Linked DNA regions of Oryctolagus cuniculus. The protein of the gene in region 1 purifies or fractionates together with the protein of each later gene. This does not show direct contact. Links are inferred from orthologs where the notes say so. Each region holds a gene or a part of one and is shown on either strand. Other genes may lie near its edges. The genes, in order: KLC2, KIF5A, KIF5B and KIF5C.

Region 1 (4,696 bases):
CCCACGCGCCTGTCCGCCCTCGCGAGGAGCCCCACCTGCTTGCGGCTGCGGTCGGCACAGTCCTCCAGCGTGTGTGCGGCCTCCAGCTTGCCCTGGCGCCGGTACAGGGCTCCCAAGCTGCGCAGGGTGGTGTTGACCGTGGGGCTGCGGTGGGGTGGCCGGACACCTCAGACTCCGTGTTCCCTGAACCCAGGCCCCCGGCACCCAGCCCACACTAGCCCCCGCTGGGTGGCGAGCTTTGTGCTAGGCCCCCCGGCTTCTGCGGTCCTCAGGGAGTCACCCCAGAGCTGTCCTGACCCCAGGGCCCTCGTGGGACGCTGCCACGGGCTGCGGAAGCTGCAGGACCCGGGGCGACAGGCGGCCAGTGCAGAAAACCTCCCTGGGACAGGGGAGCCGGCAGAGAGGAGCGGTTTCAGGGTGACCCAATGCCATTCCGCTGCCACCAACTCCACCAGCAGCCCCGCCCGGCCGGCCCCGGCCCCTCACCTGTCCACTTTACAGGCCTTGTACCAGCTGCCGTACTCCCCGTAGGGGGCGCTGTCCCGGCGCTTATCCTGTGGGAAGGCAGGCCAGGGAGGTGGGAGAAGGCTCCTCCCACGCGCAGCCTCACCCCTCCCTGACACCTGCCCGCCCGGCCTGCATCTACCTTGCTCTCCTCTCGCTCCTCTGCGTGCATCCAGATGGGCTTGTTGTCCCCTGGGGAGAAAGGACGCCGTCACCAGCCTGCCACACAGGCCTCTCCTGGTTGCGGGGGGACCGGGTACGGCTTTGTCGAACGGCCAGGAAACAGACTCCACCCATCTCGGACGCTGGACGGACGAGCGAGGCACAGGCGTGTGGCCGGGGCTTGTGTCCCGGGGCACAGGGCGTCCAGGGCCGGACGCCAGGGGCTCACCGTTGACGGAGCCGAACTCCTTCTCGTGCGCGCGCGTGAGGATCTCCTTGTACAGGGTCTCGGCGTCCTGGTACTTGCCCTGCTTCAGGTAGCAGGACGCCTGCGGGGCCGAGCGTGCGGGCGGTGTGAGCGGCGGGGGGCGGGGGAGCCCAGGCTCCTCCCTCTCCCCGCCCCCGCCCCCGCCCGGCCGCCAGCCCCTCGCCCCGAGGCACCAGGTTGTTCTTGGTCTTGGCCACGTTGGGGTCGTCGGGCCCGAGGCGCGCGGCGTAGATCTCCAGCGCCCGCCGGTAGTAGTGCTCCACCTCCTGCGCCTTGCCCTGGTTCTGGCACAGCAAGGCCAGGTTGCTGAGCTGCTTCGCCACGTCGGGGTGGAACTTGCCCAGGACCTGCGGGGGGGAGGGAGCCGGCGGCTGGGCGGGGGCTGCGGGCCCCCTGCCTGCCCTGCTCGCCAGCCCCGCGGCGCCCTGCGCCCACCTTCTCGCGGATCTCCAGCGCCCGTTTGCACAGCGGCTCGGCCTCCTTGTACTTGCCCCGCTTGCCGTAGAGAACTGCCAGGTTGTTCAACGTCGCGGCCACCTAGGCGCGGGGACGGAGGCTCCTCACGCAGGGCCCCGCTGGGCAGGGACGCGGGGACCCAGGAGCTGCAGGGGATGGGAGGCGGCCCCTCCTGACCCGACCCTCACTCACGGCGGGGTGGTCCTTGCCCAGGGTCTTCTCACGGATGGCCAGGGCGTCATTGAGCAAGTGGGCGGCCTCCTTGTACTTGTTCTGGTCCCTGGGAGCAGGTGGGCACGGTCAGGATCACCGTCCAACCCCAGGCTGCGCGGGAGTGGGCCTGGGCAGCCCCTGTCCTCCAGGCGCTCGGGCACTCCGGGCAGCTCGCCTCGCAGGGCGTCCGCCTCCCACTCAGGACCCTGGGCCCTCACCGGTAGACCAGCGCCAGGATGTTCAGCATGGTGGCCACGTCAGGGTGGTCGTGGCCCGACGTCTTCTCCAGGTCCTCGAGTGCCTGCTTGCAGAGCGGCACGGCCACCTCATAGCGGCCCTGCGACGCGTACTGGATCACCAGGTTGTGCAGCGTGCGGAGTCGTGCCGGGATTTCATAGCCCCCATGCTGGGTGGCCACATCCCCTGCTCCAGGGCTGGGGGCTGCGGGGTCAGGACAGATCAGATGTACCACCTGCCCGCCGGGCTGGCCAATGGCTTTGCCCCACCTGACACGTGGCCCTGGGCAAGCCACGAGCCACTCTGCCTCAGTTTCCCTATTTGGAGAGTAGGTCTGGTTACCCACAGGAAACTGGGCGGAAGCTGTGTGTCCCACCGCTAGTGCCTAGCCTCTCAGCCTCAGGTCTGCACCTGCGGCATGCTCAGCGCCAGGAGACAGCCCGTGCGGCCTGGCCCACAGCGGCTGAGTACCTGTGCTCCAAACAGAGCAGGCTGGGAGAGGGGGAACTCCCGGGCGCACACAGGGGCTGGTGACACACACCGCAGGACAGGAAGCCAGGCCTGGCTCTGCAGCGCTTTTACCTGGATGTGTACTCCTCAGAGGGGCGGGGGCCGGGAGGCAGGGAGAGGGGAGCACTGTGGGGACCCCCACCCCCCAGGAGCTCCAACAGGGAGAGAGGGGCACTGTGGAGACCCCCACCCCCCCAGGAGCTCCAGCAGGGAGGGGGGAGCACTGTGGAGACCCCCACCCCCCCAGGAGGTCCAGCAGGGAGGGGGGAGCACTGTGGAGACCCCCACCCCCGGGAGCTCCAGCAGGGAGAGGGGAGCACTGTGGAGACCCCCACCCCCCCGGGAGCTCCAGCAGGGAGAGGGGAGCACTGTGGAGACCCCCACCCCCGGGAGCTCCAGCAGGGAGAGGGGAGCACCGTGGAGACCCCCCCACCCCGGGAGCTCCAGCACGCTGGGACACGCCAGTCAGAGGCAGGAAAGACCCCGGCTGCTCGGCCCTGCTCCCTGTGCCCTCGGGGTCCCGCGGCCCAGGAGTTCATGCAGAGCCACTGCCCAAGCGCACCCGGGCTCTGCTCGTCCTCGTTGGGGAACAGGTCGTCCAGAGAGTCTTTGGGGGCATCCCCCTTCTCCTCCTGGGGGGCAGACAGCGTGTGAGGGCGGGGCGGGGCGGGCGCGGGGGCTCCGTGCTGCCCGCCCGCCCACTCCCCACGGGGCTCACGCTGGGCGCGGCGTCCTCGTCCAGCTTGCGGATCTGGCTCATGAACAGCAGGTGCTGCTTCTCCTCCTCCAGCTGGGCCACGGCCTGCTCACTGCGCTGCAGCTTCTGCTGCGTCCCCGCCAGCTCCTCCCGCAGCCACTGGTTCTCCTGCACCAGGCGCCGCACCTGAGCCCGCAGCTTCTGCTTCTCCGACTCCACGGCCCCCAGGTGGCTCGACAGCGCCAGGATCACCTGTGCAGGCGGCCGGGACAGGCGTCAGCGCGGCTCTCCAGGAAGCGCCGGGCCTGGTTCTGCCCGGCCGGAGCTGCGGGGCCTCAGGCCTTGGGTCTCCCACCCTCAAGGAGCTTCCCCTCGACACCCCAAACAATCCCAGTCCAAGGCTCAAACGCAGGAGGTGGGGGGTCCCTGACTGCTTCCTTCTGGGGTCAGGAGGACCCTGGAGGAGGGCTGGCCGGGTGCCGTGCTCCCGAGTGACCGTCCATCTCTCTCGAGGGTCGCAGCGTCCCTGCCCAGGGCCAGCAGTGGCCAAAGAACCCTGAGATGCTGAAGGCCATCCTGGCTTGTGCTGTGCGTCCACAGCGGCCCCTGCTTTCTGGGGCGCCCAGGTAGGGGAGGGCAGCACGTCCCAACGCCGCGGGGGCCTGCGGCACCTTGGCAGAGGCCCCCATCTGACGCCGTCCCCTCCCCACCCAGGCCTCCGTCTGACGCTGTCCCCTCTCTCCATCCAGGCCTCCATCTGACGCTGTCCCCTCTCTCCATCCAGGCCTCCATCTCACACCGTCCCCTCCCCAGCCAGGCCTCCATCTGACGCTGTCCCCTCTCCATCCGGGCCTCCGTCTGACGCTGTCCCCTCTCCATCCGGGCCTCCGTCTGACGCTGTCCCCTCCCCAGCCAGGCCTCCGTCTGACGCTGTCCCCTCCCCAGCCAGGCCTCCATCTGACGCTGTCCCCTCTCCATCCAGGCCTCCATCTGACGCTGTCCCCTCTCCATCCGGGCCTCCATCTGATGCTGTCCCCTCTCCATCCGGGCCTCCGTCTGACGCTGTCCCCTCCCCAGCTCTGAGCTCCCAGGCTCGTGTCGCCTGGGGCCCTGGCCTCGGCTCCCGCTCCTTTCTCCAGCCTTCACGGTCCAGGGTTTTTCTGCAGAGAGGCCCCTCTTCCCGGTCCCGCCTGCCCCTGGCTTCAGCCCCACCCAGTCTCGGTGCCCACGTCCTCTGCGCCGTCCTGTCCCCGTGTGCACCGCCAGGAGTTAGGCCCCCGTGGTCATCTCCGACCTGACAGCCAACTGGCAGGGGATGAGCCAACACCACGTGGCCCCCCGAGAAGGCCAGGCCGTGCAGGACAGCAAAGGGGGGCCAGGCGTCTTCACAGCCGCTCGCTTCAGACAAGCTCCCTGAGCAGCCTGGTAGCAGACACGGGGCCAAGGTGACACAGCCTGCCCAGGGTGGCGGAGGGCGCACAGGCCTCGGCAGCCCGCGTCTGCCCGGAGCCCCCTCTGGGAGGCGGAGAGAGAACCCCTGAGCCCCCAGACTCTCAAATGCGCTCGTGGACCCCGTCCTGGCGCTGGTCTCGGCGCTCGTGGCCATCTCCCAGCGGAGGGCCAGCGCTGGCCTCCTCACCACTGGCTAC
Region 2 (5,531 bases), on another chromosome or scaffold:
AGCCAGACACCCAGGATGCGGATGAAGTGAAGGTGAGTGCGGGGCTGGGGCTGGGGCCGGGGCTGGGGCCGGGGCCGAGGGTGGCGCAGGAGCAGAGACTTCATGGGGGTGCCTTGGGAGTCCGGCTTTGAGCCTGGAGTGGGGTTATTTGCAGAAGGCTCTGGAGGTGCAGATGGAGAGTCACCGGGAGGCCCATCACCGGCAGCTGGCCCGGCTCCGGGACGAGATCAATGAGAAGCAAAAGACCATTGATGAACTCAAAGAGTAAGGTTCCCGTGGGTGGCCCCAGTCTCCCCCAGGTCCTCCCGTCCTGCGGGGCGCGCTCAGCTGCCCTTCCGGATCTGGTTCTTCCACTCCCACGTGTCGTTCCGTCCACCGTGACACAGCTTTGCAGCCCAGCTGTATCAGGAGATACAGAAGTATGGACTGCTCCCTCCCCTTGAGGCCTGACTGATTGGCGAGCTCAGGGCTGTTTGCTGTGTCACAGAAGCAGTGGCCTGCATTGATGCATCCATTCCAAGTGGCTTCCCTCCTGCAAGGAGGAGAGTGCTTGAAGAGCTTTCTTCCCTTTCCTGCGCGTGAACCTCTGCTTTTCTCCCCGCGGCCCTCACAGCCTGAATCAGAAGCTGCAGCTGGAGCTGGAGAAGCTGCAGGCCGACTATGAGAAGCTGAAGAGCGAAGAGCACGAGAAGAGCGCCAAGCTGCAGGAGCTGACGTGAGTGATGCTCACCCGCGCCCAGCGGGCCCACAGAGGCGGGACGCCTGGGCACCTGGCACACATGGCCACCCACAGGTCAGGGAGGGGCCAAGGAGACTCAGAAGCGACCTGAGTAGTAGCCGGAAGAGGCCTGTGGGTTCTGTTAACTGTGAAAAGCTGGTGTAAGAGCAGTCTGGTATGACCCCATAAAAACCTGCACGTGGGTGCAGGGCCCCAAGGACTTGCTTCATCTTCCACTTCTTTCCCAGGCACATTAGCAGGGAGATGGATTGGAAGTGAAGCAACTGGGACTTGAACCGGTGCTCATACGGGATGCTGGTGTCACAGGCGGCTGCTTAACCCACTACACCATGACACCAGCCCCATCTCTCTCTCTCTTTTTTTTTTTAAAGAGGGATGTTCTTTTTCTCATTTTTTTTTTTTTATTTTCTTGAGAAGCAGAAAGTGAGAGAGAGTTTGCTTCCATATGCTGATTTGCTCCCCAGCTGCTGCTGGGCTGGCCAAAGCTAGAAGCCAGGAGCTCAATCCGGGTCTCCCATGTGGGTGGCTCGGGACCCAGTAGCCCGAGCCATCACTGCTGCTTCCTAAGGTCTGCCTAAGTGGGAAGCTGGAACCAGGAGCTGGATTCAGGAATCAAACCCAGGCTCACTGTGGGACGCAAGTGTCCTCACCCCAGGCTAAATACCCACTCCCTTAGCGCTCTTTTAAAATCCTTTTCTAGTTTTTGTACAGTATCCCTGAGTACTTTGTGCAACACAATGATCAGGGATAAAAGGGGTGGGGGCGGTGAGTGAGGCTTTCTGTGTCCTGCTCTCTCTGCGTCCTCTGCTGCAGATTTCTGTACGAGCGACACGAGCAGTCCAAGCAGGACCTCAAGGGTCTGGAGGAGACAGTTGTGAGTGGCTTCCTTCTGTGCCAAGCAATGGGGTGTGGGGGGCGGGGCTTCGTGACGTCCCCTCTGTTTCTCCCTGACCCCTCTCCCCGTCCAGTCTGTGGCGTAATCAGGACACCCCCCACCCCCTGCCCCTGGAAAGGGTGAGTGACTCCCTTGACTGTGTAGAGCCGAGGTTCCCGTAAGTCTGGAGGGAGGGGGTGGGTGTGGCACCTGGCCAGCCCCAGTGTTTCATGATCCCTTCCAGGCCCGTGAACTCCAGACCCTCCACAACCTTCGCAAGCTGTTCGTTCAAGACGTCACGACTCGAGTCAAGAAAGTGAGTGCCATCCTCGGCCGCGCGCGTGCGCACACACACACCCACCCCTCTCCACGTATCTGCAGCCCCTGCTCTCCCTGGTGGGGCTGGCTGCACCCGCTCTCTGGGGGACCTGCTTGGCCACATCTTTGTCTGTCTCTGATCAGAGTGCAGAAATGGAGCCCGAGGACAGTGGGGGGATTCACTCCCAAAAGCAGAAGATTTCCTTTCTTGAGAACAACCTGGAACAGCTTACAAAGGTTCACAAACAGGTAAGAGTCCGGAGGTGGGGCCAAGACAGTCTTTGAGGCCAGACACCTAGGACACCCAGATCCTTGGAGACCCTGGGTCCAGAAACACCTGGTTGCTTGTTTTCCTGTTCTCTTTTACTTGCCCTACTGATGCGGATGCCGTCTTTGGGCCTTGGCCTTGGCCTTTGCTGCCTGCCTGCTTTCCCTTCTCCGAGTCCCTGACCCAGCCCTGCTCCAAGTGGAGTTCCTCAGACTTGCCTTGGAGAGAGAGGTTGAGGCTGGCAGAGGTCGGAAAGGCTTGGGGGGTGGGGGTGTCTCTGTCACCACACCAGAGGGAAGGCAGGGAGAAAGAGGAAGGGTGAGAACTCCAGCTGCCTAGGCCTGGGCTGGCCTGCAAGGACATTAAGCAGTGTCCTGGAGACGGCCCGGGCAGCGCCTGGCTGGGGCAGGTGAGAGCCTCTGTGTGTTTGGTCGCTGCCTCTCTGCGCCCCTCCTTGCTGCTGTGGCTCTAAGGTGCATGACTGGTGCTCACAGGGGCGGGGTGGGGAGGCAGAGGGCAGTCCAAAGGAGTGAGGACAGGAAGTATTTGGTGTGTACAGAGCAGGTGCACCCTCGCTGCTGCCACGCAGCTGGGCCTTGAAGGCAGGCGCAACAGCCTGGCGAGTGGCTCTTCTAATGAATTCATAAAAGAAGCTCGAGCACGCACTTCAGTTCCGTCCTTGCAAATCCACCTGACAGTTCCATCAGACTCATATTCTCACTAGCCGGGAACTTCAACTTCTCTTCCTCCCAATGTAATGTCTAGCCTATATGGTATGGACTATATATATATATATATATATATATATATATGATTTATTTTATTTATGTGAAAGAGTTACAGAGAGAAGTAGAGACAGAGAGAGAGAAAGAGGTCTTCCATCTGCTGGTTCACTCCCCAAATAGCCACAATGGCTGGAGCTGAGCCAATCTGAATCCAGAAGCCAAGAGCTTCTTCCTGGTCTCCGATGTAGGTGCAGGGGCCCAAGGACTTGGGCCATCCTCCACTGCTTTCCCAGGTACATTAGCAGGGAGCTAGATCAGAAGTGGGGCAGCTGGGACTCAAACCGGCACCCATATGGGATGCTGGTGCTGTAGGCCGGGGCTTTAACCCACTGCGCCACAGCATTGGCCCCCAACAGTAAATATTTAATACATTAAAAATTTTTTTTGTTTGTTTATTTAGAGAGAGGCAGAGGCAGTTAGAGAGAACTCCCATCTGCTTGTTTACTCCCCCAATGCCTTGCAGTGGCTGAGGCTGGGCCAAACCAAAGCCAGTAGCCAGAAATTCAATCTGGGTCTGGCACAGGTTGGGGGATCCAGTTACTCGAGTCAGCGCCCTTGCCTTCCAGAGCCTGCATTAGCAGGAAGCTGGAGTCGAGAGTCAGAAGCCAGGGCTGGGTATGGAACCCAGGCGCTCCCACGTGGGATGAGGGCATCTTAACTGCTAGACTAAACACCACTGCTACTTTTTTCAAAAAATGAAAATATCCCAAACCTGTGTCCCAGGGATGACCTGCAGGCTCTATTTTGATTTGTGTCTGCAGAAGTCTTTACAGCTATTTTTATTTCCTTGACTTATAAAACAGTGCAACAACATTTTTACGGAAACGTTGAAAAAATAGCCAGGAAATGGTTTGTAATCAGTTCTGCCATTCTGTTCTCCCCACTGTGTGTTCACCATCCCTCTCTGTGCAAATGCCGATTGTCAGAGGAGAGGTGCACAGAAAGGCTCCCAGCTCCGCCCCTTTACTGCTCTGCTGGCTTCCCCTGTGTCTGCCAAGGCCCAGCACCTCCTGCAGTCTTGGTGCTCCCAGTCCTTGTGGGGAGCCCTGTGAAAGAGCAAGAAATCTTTGCTCGCTGCAAAGGTAGCAGCTGCTCCCTCGCTCTGGCTTCATTCAGATGGGGGTAGGACAGCCCAGGAAGTCTTGGAATGAGAAGGTAGTGAGCAGAAATGTGAGAACGACTCTGTGTGTGTGTGTATGTGTGTGTGTGTGTGTGTGTGTGTGTGTGTGTGTGTGTGTGGCAGGGGAGTGGGGTGGAGGAGGGGTCTGAATTCCGGCTTCTGCTCCTGCTCTGCACCTGACCGGCACCCATTCGTAGTGCCATCACCACCTCCACGCTGCGACTCCTTGCACTGCCCCATGCGTGCTCACAAAGCCATCCCCGGGGCGGGGTCGTCGGCTGGTCCCCATGGTTGCCCTGCAGTTGTTGATCCAGCACATGCTGTGGCATTTGTTGAAGGGAAATGTCCAGCCCAGACAGTGGAGAGGGCAGGTTTTGCTGCCTAGAGAACAGAACTTTGTAACGCATGACTGCCCCTTGCTCAGAGAGAAGTGGGCAGGACAGTACGCTATGCCAAGGGACCTGGTGTCCGTCTTCTCTGGCTTCGAGATCTTTCTTCTCTCTCCCCATCCCTCACCCCGTGCTCTTCCCTTTGGCAGCTGGTACGTGACAATGCAGATCTGCGTTGTGAGCTTCCTAAATTGGAAAAACGACTTAGGGCTACGGCTGAGAGAGTTAAGGCCCTGGAGGGTGCACTGAAGGAGGCCAAGGAAGGCGCCATGAAAGACAAGCGGCGCTACCAGCAGGAGGTGGACCGCATCAAGGAGGCCGTGCGCTACAAGAGCTCCGGCAAGCGGGGCCACTCGGCGCAGATCGGTGAGTGGCGGCCCTAACACCTGGAGCAGACTCTGCAGCCCTCGAGCGCCAAGCCGCTATGTGACTGCTTCTTCCTTGCCCCATGCCTGAAAAGTAAAAAAGGAATGATTATCTTTTTTAAAATTTTATTTTATTAATTTGAAAGGCATAGAGATGGGTGGGGAGATAAAGAGAGAGAGAGAGAGAGAGATGTTCCATCCACTGGTTCGCTCCCCAAATGTCTGCAACAGCCAAGGCTGGGCCAAGCTGAAGCCAGGAGTCAGGAACTCATGCTGGGTCTTCCCCGTGGGTGGCGGGGGCCCAAACACTCGAGCCATCACCTGCTGCCTCCCAGGGTGCACACCAGCAGGAAGCTGGATGAGAAATGGAGCTGGGACTTGAACTCAGGGACTCTGATGCGGCGTCTTACCTGCGCTGCCAAATGCCTGGCCCTGTGATACTTATCTTACATGGAACTGGTGGGACCCCAGCTAAATGACCCCCGTGACCCCAGGGAGCACATGGTGACCATAGCCTCCTCAAGGTCATTTCTTCTTTTGGAAAGAAACTTACCTGCGTCATCATTACTATTATTTTCGTTTTATTTGAAAGAGAGATAGAGATCTTGCATGCACTGGTTCGCCCCTCACATGGGAATGCAGTCCAGGTCTCCGACATGGTCCAGGGGCTCAA
Region 3 (5,996 bases), on another chromosome or scaffold:
CAATTTAACATGTAGTATTTGCAGTCTACAGCAATGTCTGTTCTAGATCTTCATAATCTTACTCACCACTCACTCACTGACTCACCCAGAGCAACTTCCAGTCCTGCAAGCTCCATTCATGCTAAGTGCTCTATACACTTAAACACTTTTATGTTGCTTTTTTCCCATGTTTAGCTACACAGATACCATTGTGTTATAATTGTCTGCAGTATTCAGTTCAGTAACGTCTATACAAGTCTGTAACCCAGAAGCAACATGCTAAGCCATGTAGCCTAGGTACAGAGAAACCTGTACCATCAAGTCGTGTAAATACACTCTGTGATGTCCACCATGTCATGGTGTATTACTAAATAAAATCTGTCCTTAGCATTTAAACCACTATTGGCTTGATCTTTGACAGACGGCTAATAATGAACTGAAAACAAGGAAAGTATTAAAGACAGGGAGAACAGGCTTATTTGCTTTTTTTTTTTCTTCAATAAAGCTGAAAAAAAGTGAAATCAAAGATGTTGTAAGAAGATGGTGATTGTGGGTAGCATCCAGGTGTTGGATGAAGTTGGACACAATTCAGAGAATAAGTGAACAATTAGTCTTAGGGAGAGACAGTTGTCTTTTTCTGGAACTAGAGATAAAAACGACAGGATCAATTAGATATGATGGGGAAATCAGACGACATAGAATAGGTCGTAAGTGTGAGAAAGCAAAAATGTGATGTTCATTCATCAGCCTGGACCGACAGCTACGATGAAGGCTAACTGCAAGGTGAGGACAGGAAACAGGTACTTCTCTCCGGGACACGTCACATCCATAAAGTCACAATGTCCTTTCCATCAATTTCTTACCCAGAAGCTTTGTTCTTTCGAACCACCGACTATCACAAACTATCGAAATTAAAGCAGTAAGGATAAAACATCCCACTCTTCCCTGAGGAATCTAAGGCACAGGGAAGCAGCCTGGATTCCCAAGCCAGGTGGAAAGCTTCGGAAAAAGCGGTTTCTCCGCATTAATTCTGTGGTGTTCAAGGAAGCAGAACCTCTGCTCCCCTGTAGTTCAGACCCCAGGTTGGTGCCTTCCCTCAAAGCTCTGCTTGGCATGGCGCCTCTTAAACCGCCGCTTCATTTAACTTTTTTTTTTTTTTTTTAACCCAAACTGCGCTTTCCCCAAAGCCCTGTGGTAACCCAGACCCCCTTGCACGGGAGGACCCTTTATGGTATCCATCTTCCACACACGGGGGGCGAAGGCAACTTTGCCATGGTTTCCCCTTCGACCTGTAGTCCACCAGTCTCCCTAGGCCTCCTAAGGCCAGCTCTGCGTTCCAGGCCAGTCACCCCTCCGGAACTGGCACGGACCGGTTCCATCCGTTTCCTCGCGGGAGGTAGGCTCTCGGGTTCCCTGAGGATGCGCCGCCACCTGATGATCCCGGCCCCGGCCTACGCCTTCTTCAGCTGCCTACTTCATCCCTCAGGAGAAACTGCCTTCTGTCTCACTCCTGTCCTCCCAGCCCGCTCTGAGGAGGGAGCAACTGCTTCCACCAGCGAGCCAAGTCCCACCTTCATTTCAAATCTTTCTTCCTGGCAACGCGCTCTTAAAAAAAAAATGGGCCAGGGAATTTTTTTTTTTTTCTTTTCCTCAGACCAAAATGAAAGCGAACTCCTCCTTTCGGGGAATCCGGTATTTCATTGAAACAAGCTACAGCTTTAAGGAGTTACCAACAACGTCTTCGTCTCCCAAAGAAAGCTAAATGGCTCTGGGGAACTCAGCGGCGGTCGGCAAGGCCCCGGTGTCCAGCAGCCCCGCAGCGCGGGAGCTTCCAGGAAAACTTCACTCCGCGACCCCGCCGCGGTGACGGCGCCGCCCCCGGCGCAGCCCGGGCCCCCAGCGCGCGCGCTGATTGGCCGCCGGGGCTCAGCGCGCCTGCGCAGTGCTGGTCCCGCGCCGCCCATCCCACCGCCCGGGCGCCCGTCGGCGGCCTCAGCAGGGATCGGGCGGCTGCCGGCGCACCGGCGAGCGGGCAGACGATTGGGGAGCCTGGTGGGCCCGGCCCGGTGTTCCCGAGGAAAGCAGACCGGGGCCGCTCTCCTGCGCCCTTCTCCCAAGCCTCCGCAGCCCCCGCGGCCCGCGCAGGCCAGCCGGGGAGGAGCCGCGGACACTCTGCCCCGGTGCGGCCGCGGCTGCCATGATGGATCGGAAGTGAGCCTGTGGGCGACTGCTGCCGGCGCTGGCGTTTCGAGTGCCGGCTCCTCGGCCGCGCCTGTCCGGGGAAGTGCCGGCGCGGCCGGCTGCCGACGCTCGCGGCCCTCGGGACCCCAGACCGTCCGCTGCGCCCCGCTGCCTGCAGAACTGAGCGGCGGGGAGTGGCCCCCGGCCTCGGGCCCCGGCTTCCAGGAACATGGCGGACCCGGCCGAGTGCAACATCAAAGTGATGTGTCGCTTCAGACCGCTCAACGAGTCCGAGGTGAACCGCGGCGACAAGTACGTGGCCAAGTTCCAGGGAGAAGACACGGTCCTGATCGCGGTGAGTGAGGGACCCCTGCCCCCAGCTCGCGTCCTGAGCCCCGGGGCCCGGCCGGGTCGGGGGGCAGAGGGAGGTGGCGGGGGTGCGGACCCCGCGACGGAGCCTTGGTGACCCCAGCCGTGCGGGTTCAGGGCACCCAGGGCAGGGAGACGGCGCCGCCCCGCCGGCGTGCCAGGGCCGCCCCCACCCCGGCTTTGGGAGACGGGAGGCGCCCGGGCTCGGTCGGGGACACTCCCCGACCTGGGGCGCCGGAGCAGCCGTGCGGGGAGCGGGTTTGGTGCGTGTTAAGTTTGGGCGTGCGGTCACTCGGGATGGGCTTGGTGATCGCGACTTCTCGGTCTGAAAAGTCCAGCTGCAAAGTGACCTGTGGGGCCGGCCAGCCCTTTTGTGCTGCAAGCCGTGAAGGTACTAGGTTTGTAGGAACGCAGAGCTAGGTGTTGCAGCTGACTGTCTCCGTGGCGGGTTTTACCCGCCCTACAAACGATCGCCCAGCCGCCTTTGGAATGAATGACTTACCACGTTAACAGTTACAAATGGCAAATTGAAGACTGTCCAGAGAAACAGTGGGTTTTCCTCTGCCGCTGATCAGTTTTGGTTAATCTTGTAACAGAGCTAGCTGAGTTCGATGGGGTCAAATAACGTGCTGAGAAAGATCCAGAATCTCACTGTGCTTTTTAACAGGGGGTAACAGACTAGGAAAAAAGCGTTTACTTCATATCAGTGTGTGATTTAAAAAGAAAGATTCTAAAAAAGATAAAATTGACCAGCAGACAGGACTGTAGTTCTTCAGGGTTTAAACTGAAGGTTTGCAAAGTTCACATCTTGAAGACGAAGAGTTGTTAGGTCATTAACAGCTACCAAGTACTTCTGGGTAAAGATGTTAGGCCGGTTCTTTGTTAGCAAGTCCTCTAGAAAAACTCCTGGTATAAATGACATCATGCGAGGTGGAGAAGTCAGGCACAGTAATCCTTTTTCCTTTAGCGTGGTGTATTTTACATGGAATCAGTAGAAGCTTGCAAGGCCTGGATTAGTTGTCAAAACTTGAGGCCACTAGTTTCTTCAGGGTGTTTGTGGTTACTCAGCTTCATCTACAGTTGACTCAACAAACCACTTTTTCCTTTTACGCTGTGTTAAGCTTCTCTTATGGATCCCGATTTCTATGTGTGTATTGACACAAATCTCCAAGTATCACTAAGGTTCTTTAGGATTCACAATGTATTAAGATCGGGGTAGAAGGTAACCTTCTGTTATGGCTCAAATATGACATAAAATGTGAAGAGAGCTAAAAGAGGAAGAGGTAATTACCACAGGAACCATGCATTTAGTTTAGGTTGTTTTCCTTTGGGAAAGGTAAATGTATGAATTCTGTTTTTCAGAATTTCTTCAGTACTGTAAGTACGTTGAAATGATAATGAAAAATAATGGGTAGGTGATTGGTTTGTGATTCAGTAGTCAACAGTTGGTGACTCTGTAGGTAAACTGGTGAGCATTTTAGTCTGGTGTTTTAAAGTGTAAGCAAAAATACATTACAACCTTAAAAATTATAAAGCAACATGTCTAGTTCATTATTTTCAGGAACTGGTTTCTTGTATATAACTACATTAATTGCACAGAAGTCTGGTAAATGAATTAAGAGCAATTAGGAGGAGTGAAATTAAGAAAATCATCTCTTGGTTTGTTTTGTTCATTTTGTTGAATTCTGATCCTGATTCAGACTAAATGGGAGAGAATTGCTGCAATGAAGCATTTAAAACTAAATTATTGTAAACATGATTGAAGAAAATTTTGTACAGTCCTCTAGTTAAGTCAGAATTTAAAGTATTTCAGCTTATGATGTTACTGAATTATCAGTGCTCCTGGAGAAAGTAATTTTTAAGATTTCTGATTCTCTTCTAATTTCAGTTTTTAATATTTTGTCCAAGCTTTGTTCCTGTTAAGTCAGGATATCACATCTTTTGATTAAGTGTTTGGTGAATGCTAAAAATATCACACTGAAATGAAGCAAATGAATATCATGAAAAATTTTAAATGGTACAAATATAACTCACATATTTGCTTTAAATTAGAAAATTTGTTATCCACAAGGCAGGGAGGACAAAGGAAGCAGCTCATGTGGTTCAAGTGAACTTGCTAAAAATACCAGAAAAAAGTCAGGAAGAAAAATGACTGATGTGTATATTTATGCATCATAAAAGTAGTACTTGCTCATTTGATTAAGTATCCTTGCATATCATTGATCCTTATATGGAGTACCATAGAGGTTGGCAGAACTAAAAACAGGCTGCTGTAGTTCATTGATACTAGAAGAGACTAAAACTAATCAGATCATCTTGCTCATTTCCTTGCCTAAAGCAAAACATGATTTGCCATGTCAGGTCAATGAGGATTTGGTGTGGGTGCCCTCTTGATTAAGAATGAAATTGAAAGAGAAGAGGGAACCACCGTCTGTACCCTTACAGCTGTAGAATAGTATCCGCAACCAGTGCGTAAGGAAGGAAAAATTTAACTTACAGTCCCGTGTGAAAAGATCACAATCCAGAATTCCAGACAAAGGCTTGTCCCTGCCAGCAGGGTGTCCTTCATAACCAAATTTGGTGTTCAGCCTGCTGTGTGCAGACTCAAACAGGATCCCTTCACTTAGGAAATCTGAGGTATGGTTGCAGTTCAGATACACTTACTCCTGTTTGGTTTGTTCCCTTGAAGCCTAAGTCAGATGTGAATGCATGTGATTCGGCGTTTGTAAAATTGAAATCGGAAACTTTGGAGTGTTTTTGAAGATACTTAGAATTAAAGGTTGCATAATGTACATTTCAAGGCTGAGAGCCAGATTTTTAAAACAAAGCTGTCCAGATACTGAGTTTTTCGTTTACTTGAAAGATATAGACGTCCCTTGATGATAGGCTATTAGAGATAATTTTTTTGTTTTACAGAGTCTTTTTTAAACAATGATATAACCTCTAAAAATAGTCACTCACTTCCAGCTTATGTTTGTGTGTTATCTTTTAATCATTGTCATTCATTTTATTTTAGTAAGGGTGTGGTGATTACATTTTTTCTGTGAGGTGTTGCTAGAGTAAACAGCTACATAAAGTACTTTTGAGGCACATTGCCCATTATTTCGGGCATGTCTTTGTAAATATGATTTGGAAGCACTTTTTTTATTTTTTACTGATGTGAAAATTAAGGTATGACAACACTCACTAGTGTTACTGTTCTTTAAATGTTTGTTTTAATAAGATTTTTTATTTGACTTATTTTGGAGGGACACTTGTCTTCATTCTTTTACTATTTTCTATTGACTAAATTGTTTCTTGTAAGCAAAATTAGAATCAACCATTGTTTAACTTTTACTTTGATATTTTTTGCATGCCTGTTATTAAATGTTTATTCAAGCTGTTTGTGATCTCGACTTCCCTGCGAGATTATGAGTTCTTTAACACTAGAGACTGATTTCAGTTCAATTAATGTTACTTGATCACCT
Region 4 (5,531 bases), on another chromosome or scaffold:
GAAAAGGAGCTCTGCATGATTCATTTCTCTGCTGAAAGGACTAATGACACAGGTGAGCGGCTGTGCTCAGAAGAAAGGAAAGAGGAGGGGAATAGTTTTAAACCGCATCAAGATGGATTTCAGTTACACATAAAGGAGAGTCCTAATGACTGAAGTGAATGCATGTCCAGGCGCAGGGCGCCTCTCTTGGCAGTGTGTGGATGTACCCCTGCTCACAGACACAGATCACGTGGTTGATGGGTCACAAATAAGGCTATTGAAACAGAGCTTCTTAAACACATTTTCATATTTCAGCATCTCAACTCCATGAAATATACCAGGCAGGTCTTATCTATCACCTTCCTTCTACAGACAAGGAAAATGGAGCTCCAGTGACATCAGACTGCCAGCCTCAGGGAAGGATAGCAGGTCGCAGAGTGGGGAACAACAGCTCAGCACTCTGTGCTGCAAGATTGAGCTGGCACATGCATGTGGACACATCCAGGCAAAGGAAAACCAACGTGAACAAAGGAAAACATGCCAGCACTACCACTTTAAATCCCTCAGAAACACAAGGGGCTCTGCAGAAAGTTCACGGAAAATACATATCATGAAAAAATATATTTTACACCCAAATAAATTTACCTTTTCATTCCATTTTCCTATGAACTTTTGAATTCACATCATTAGCAATAACGCAACACTGTGCAGAGGCAGGTCTTCACTATGATCTGCCAGCGTGAGGCAGTTTTCAGGTGTATCTGGACCCTAAGTACTCATCCCTGTGCGTGGCAAGAATGAAGGTGCCATCAGGCTCTTTACGCCGACCCATAGATGGCATGGCCGGAAAGCTTTTCAGCCGTCAACAGTCAGTCGGGAACACAACAGCACTGCTTTGTAACTTCGAAGCTACAAGCCCACACCAGCACAATGTTGGACTCCCAACCAGGAATATCCAAAGGATCTTCTGCTCATAGCCCCACAAATGCAAAGGGGAGGGAAACTTAAGGAATTATGACTTAGACAGATGCTAGAGGACATAACTTGGCAAATGGGAACTCAGTGATGTGGTGCAGCACATCACTGGGGGTCAGTGGGGGTCAATGATACAGCGAGGGAGACTGACCAAACCTCAAGGCTCACCCTGATGGCCACTAAAGGCATGATGGCAGTGACAAGGGAGGAAAAGGCACTGTGCAGGTGCATCTGCTCTGAGATGTTGCCCAATGGGGAAAGATTCCCCAGCCATGGTGTGGCAGCAGGAGTCTCCATTGGTGCTACAGAATTGAGGCTGGTAAGGGGCAGGTGGGAGATTCTAGGAAGCCTACTTGGGAGGCATGGGATGGGGTACAGATGCCAAAAGAAAGTCCTGACAAAACCAGAGACCAGTCAGGGTTTGTGGCTAAAAGAATGAGCACAGGACTCACAGCCTAAGGAACCAAGGCCGCCCTCAGAAGATAGATCAATCCATGCCCACTGCCAGGAGAACCAGGAAGAGGCCGAGGTTACACAGATTTTATCAGCAAAACAGAGCCACAGAGGCAGAGCTGCTGCTTCCCACGGCAAAGCCATTCCCTGGCCTAGCTGAGCCTGGTACACAGGGCATCTTCCCTTTTCTCAGACATTCATGCCCCTTCCACATTGGCACAGCTGTCCTTGTCAGGACACGTTCAGACCAACACTTGACTAACGTTGTCACCAGGGCCTGTTCGGCATAAATCACCATTAGCATTCAGAGCATCTGCCTGTGATATGAACAGGGAACTTCAGGACCAGAAAATAAAGAGCAGGGAAACAAAGGTTAAATTTAATAACACCTTGGCACAACATCAGAAACTTAAAAAGCTTTTTAAAATAGGGAATAGAAAGGCATAAAAACCACGCCATTGCACGCTGAAGCAAATAACAGGGGAAATTATAGATAACACAAATAAAGAACCAATTACCTTTTCGCTCCCAGCCAAATCAACCAAATAAAGCTTCCCACTGAGTTTTTTTTCAGTCTCCACATTCTCTTGTTTAATATTAATCAGGAAGATACTGTGACTTCTAGAGCTGTGTTCATTCATGTCTGAAAAGGAAAATAGTTTACTGCGCTACAAAAAAACACATAAACTGAGATGGCAAACCTCTCGACTAAAAAGCGCAATAAATCATGCCTTCCCAGTCAGTTGTGAAAACCACCTGAGACACACTGTTTCCTCTTAAAAACAAGCTCACTCTTGAAAAGCAAGATTTAACATATCTTCAAGTAGCAGAGAAATTCATCTAAAAATCTTGGTCAACAGCTTGAGATACTCTAGCTCTGCCTGAAGCCCACATTCTACCGCAGCCTGACTCTCCTTCAGTATGTAGCTTTTTCCCCTGCCTCACTTTAAATCTCACAGATGCTATTATCTTGATTAGTACCTGATATATTCTAGCTCAGTCACGTATGGAAGCCTGACCTTATCAGGAACAGTATAAGCTTCCTTAAGGAAGGATTAAGACTTTCTTAAGGAAGGATTAAGACCTACACCTCTTCTGCAACTCATGTTAAGTGCATAGAAGATCTCAAAGATTAAAAATGCCCCCATTAGGATGGAGTACTAGAAATAAAGTTCCTTGAAAACCCTGGCCAGTCAACCAGGCAGAAACAGAGGCCCACAATGCAACCCTCACCAGCAATCATTGCTCAAAACCACCTCACCAGATATGTAAAAAGTCCTAAAGAAACCTTCTTAAGAAACTGTTAGGACTGTTTAACAAAGCATACAAAATCAACACATAAAAAATCACTCACATTTCTATATCACAATAATCCAAAAAGTAAATTAAGAAAATGCCATTTACAATAGGAACAAAAATAATAAAATATTTAGGAATAAACTTAAAAAAGGAGGTAAAAGTTTTGTACACTGAAAATTAGGAAATGTTGCCAAAAGATATTAAAGAAAACACAAATAAATGGGAAGACATCCCATGTACATTGGAAGACTTACTCTGGCAAAATGGCAACACCAGAGGCCAGTGTTAGCACAGCAGGTTAGCAGTCTCCTGCGACAATGGCATCCCATATGGGTGCCAGTTCATGTTCCAGCTGCTCTATTTTCAATTCAGCTCCCTGCTAATGTACCTGGGGAAGCAGCGGAAGATGCCCAAGTGCTTGGGCCCCAGCTACTCACATGAGAGACCCAGACGAAGCTCTTGGCTCCTAGCTGTTGCAGCCATTTGGGGAGGGAACCAGTGAATGGAAGATCTCTCTCTCACTCTCTCTTTCTCTGTCTCTGTCTGTCCCTCTCTCTCTGTAACTGTGCCTTTCAAATAAATAAATAAATCTTCAAAATGTCAACACCATCCAAAATAACCCACATGTTCAATGCAAACACTATCAAAATCTCAGTGACAGTTTTTGTAGAAACAGAAAATTCCTTCCTAAGATTCATACAGAATCTCAAGAGATCTTGAATAGCCAAAACAATCTTGAAAAGTAAGAACAAGGTTGGACACCTCACAGTTACTGCTTTCGAAAGTTACTACAAAGCAACAGTAATCAGAACAGTGTGGTAGCAGCAAAAGACCAACATACAGACGAACAGAACAAAATAAAGAGCCCTAAAATAAACTCCAGCACATCAGTCAAATAACCTTCATCAAGGGTAACCAAAAAGTTCAAGGGGGAAATGACAGTCCTTTCACCAAATGGTGCTGCAACATTTACACATAAAAGTCTCAAACCATACACAAAAACTGGTTTGGTTCAGAAAGGAAAATATAAGATTCTTTGAGGAAATCATAGCACCAGATTTGGCAATGATTTCTTGGATAAGACACTAAAAGCATAAGTGCAATAGATGGATGGAAATGATGTTAACACACAATGAGGATGTGTTTAATACCACAGAGCTGCATAGTTAGCTAATGTTCTGAAGCAGCAGATCTAAATTAAGGAACCGAAAGGTATACTGTGAATAATAATTAGTCATGAATAATTCGTGACTAACAACAGCTTATGAAACAGAATGAACTACTTTTTTGCCAAAACAGATATATTACTGATATAAGCATATCAGTATTGGGCAGCCATGTGGCACACTGGTTAAACAGGGCGTGGGACATCCTTATCCCATAGCAGTGTGGCTAGGTTTCAGTCCCAGGCTCTGCTAACATGGACCTTGGGAGATAGTACAGGTAGTGGTTCAAGTACTTGGGTCTCTTCCATTCATCTCGGAAACCTGGATTGGGTTCTCAACTCCCAGCTTTGGCCTGGATCAGCTCTGGCTATTATAGGCAACTGGGGAATGAGCCAGTGGATAGGAGATCTCCTTCTCTATCCATCTGTCTCACTGCCTTTCTAGTATATAAAATAAAGATTGTTTTTTAAAAACAATCTTACACTCTTCCCTGTGTACATGTTTTAAGCAAGAGGGAAAGAAGTGAAGTCTGACCACACTGTATACAAGTTTAGGCTCTGGGGCTGGCACTGTGGTATAGTACGTAAAGCATCTGCCTGCAGCATCAGCATTCCATAGGGGCACCAGTTCTAGTCCCTACTGCTCCTCTTCCAATCCAGCTCTCTGCTATGGCTTGGAAAGCAGTAGAAGGTGGCCCAAGTCCTTGGGCCCTTGCACCCAGTGGGAGACCTGGAGGAAGCTCCTGCCTCCTGACTTTGGCTTTGGATCAGATCAGCTCCATCTGTTTGAGGAGTGAACCAGCAGATGGAAGACCTTTCTCTCTGTCTCTCCCTCTCTCTATCTGTAACTCAGCCTCTCAAATAAATAAATCAATCTTTAAAAAAAAAAGTCTAGACTCACCTATGAAATCTGCCACACATATAAACATCATCAGACACACTCTTGGGGTAGAGAAAAGGCTGGATCACAGAATCATAGAACCTCAGGTGGAAGAGACTTAAAGAGCTGAGATGAGCCTCTTCTACAACAGGATAGTGAACTCACTCTCTCTCTAGGAGCAGGCTTTAGTTGGGGCAGCCATAAGGATTACAGAGTTCTTATGGCAAATGAAAATCTATCCTCCCTAGTGGTTAAGACACTGCTTCCTAATAATGTATACCCTGGGAAGAAGCAGGTGATGGCTCGACTACCTAAAAAGCTGCCACTCACATGGGACAAATGGACTGATCTTCCAGCTGGGTCTCAGATTCAGCCTGGTACAGTCCAGGCTGCTGTGGGCATTTGTACAGTGAACCAAAAGATGGGAGCCTTCTGTTTGTTTTTTTGTCTCTGACTTTCTCTCTCAAATAAATAAAATGAACTAATTTTTTAGAAGCTATGCCTCCCAAGAACCTCAGCAATCCTGCAAGTCTACCCATTGAGACCAAACAGAGCAAGCTGACCTTCTGACCCAGGGTCGGCACCTTCAACTGCTCACATGTCCTCCTCAGATGTTTCTCCCCTCCAACTTCCTCTTTTGGTGAACTTACTTTCATTTGGCCACATCCTTCTATGCCTACCTAACCTTTTCATGGAACCTCTGCCGCTCTAGTACCATATGTGCTGCTTGTCTAAGATGCCTATGCTGGCCGGCGCCGTGGTTCACTAGGCTAATCCTCC

What was found.
Region 2: the proteins of KLC2 (region 1) and KIF5A purify together in Homo sapiens (affinity purification with western blotting; 3 studies listed by BioGRID and IntAct, with this or other methods). This does not show direct contact. The link is inferred for Oryctolagus cuniculus from reciprocal best matches to the Homo sapiens genes KLC2 and KIF5A.
Region 3: the proteins of KLC2 (region 1) and KIF5B fractionate together in Homo sapiens (co-fractionation; 7 studies listed by BioGRID and IntAct, with this or other methods). This does not show direct contact. The link is inferred for Oryctolagus cuniculus from reciprocal best matches to the Homo sapiens genes KLC2 and KIF5B.
Region 4: the proteins of KLC2 (region 1) and KIF5C purify together in Homo sapiens (affinity purification with western blotting; 3 studies listed by BioGRID and IntAct, with this or other methods). This does not show direct contact. The link is inferred for Oryctolagus cuniculus from reciprocal best matches to the Homo sapiens genes KLC2 and KIF5C.

The regions. Positions count from the first base shown.
Region 1 is NC_091432.1:5,579,577-5,584,272, forward strand, and holds part of KLC2 (kinesin light chain 2), read right to left. Parts: intron 3,300-4,696; coding exon 3,069-3,299; intron 2,983-3,068; coding exon 2,913-2,982; intron 2,045-2,912; coding exon 1,822-2,044; intron 1,671-1,821; coding exon 1,583-1,670; intron 1,472-1,582; coding exon 1,370-1,471; intron 1,282-1,369; coding exon 1,108-1,281; intron 996-1,107; coding exon 896-995; intron 697-895; coding exon 647-696; intron 555-646; coding exon 487-554; intron 145-486; coding exon 36-144; intron 1-35. UniProt on the Homo sapiens protein: Kinesin is a microtubule-associated force-producing protein that plays a role in organelle transport. The light chain functions in coupling of cargo to the heavy chain or in the modulation of its ATPase activity.
Region 2 is NC_091442.1:60,182,664-60,188,194, forward strand, and holds part of KIF5A (kinesin heavy chain), read left to right. Parts: coding exon 1-32; intron 33-154; coding exon 155-264; intron 265-613; coding exon 614-715; intron 716-1,552; coding exon 1,553-1,613; intron 1,614-1,857; coding exon 1,858-1,929; intron 1,930-2,075; coding exon 2,076-2,180; intron 2,181-4,642; coding exon 4,643-4,859; intron 4,860-5,531. UniProt on the Homo sapiens protein: Microtubule-dependent motor required for slow axonal transport of neurofilament proteins (NFH, NFM and NFL). Can induce formation of neurite-like membrane protrusions in non-neuronal cells in a ZFYVE27-dependent manner.
Region 3 is NC_091444.1:102,483,276-102,489,271, reverse strand, and holds the start of KIF5B (kinesin-1 heavy chain), read left to right. Parts: upstream 1-1,918; 5' UTR 1,919-2,389; coding exon 2,390-2,515; intron 2,516-5,996. UniProt on the Homo sapiens protein: Microtubule-dependent motor required for normal distribution of mitochondria and lysosomes. Can induce formation of neurite-like membrane protrusions in non-neuronal cells in a ZFYVE27-dependent manner.
Region 4 is NC_091434.1:93,304,266-93,309,796, forward strand, and holds part of KIF5C (kinesin heavy chain), read right to left. Parts: intron 2,051-5,531; coding exon 1,926-2,050; intron 1-1,925. UniProt on the Homo sapiens protein: Microtubule-associated force-producing protein that may play a role in organelle transport. Has ATPase activity. Involved in synaptic transmission. Mediates dendritic trafficking of mRNAs.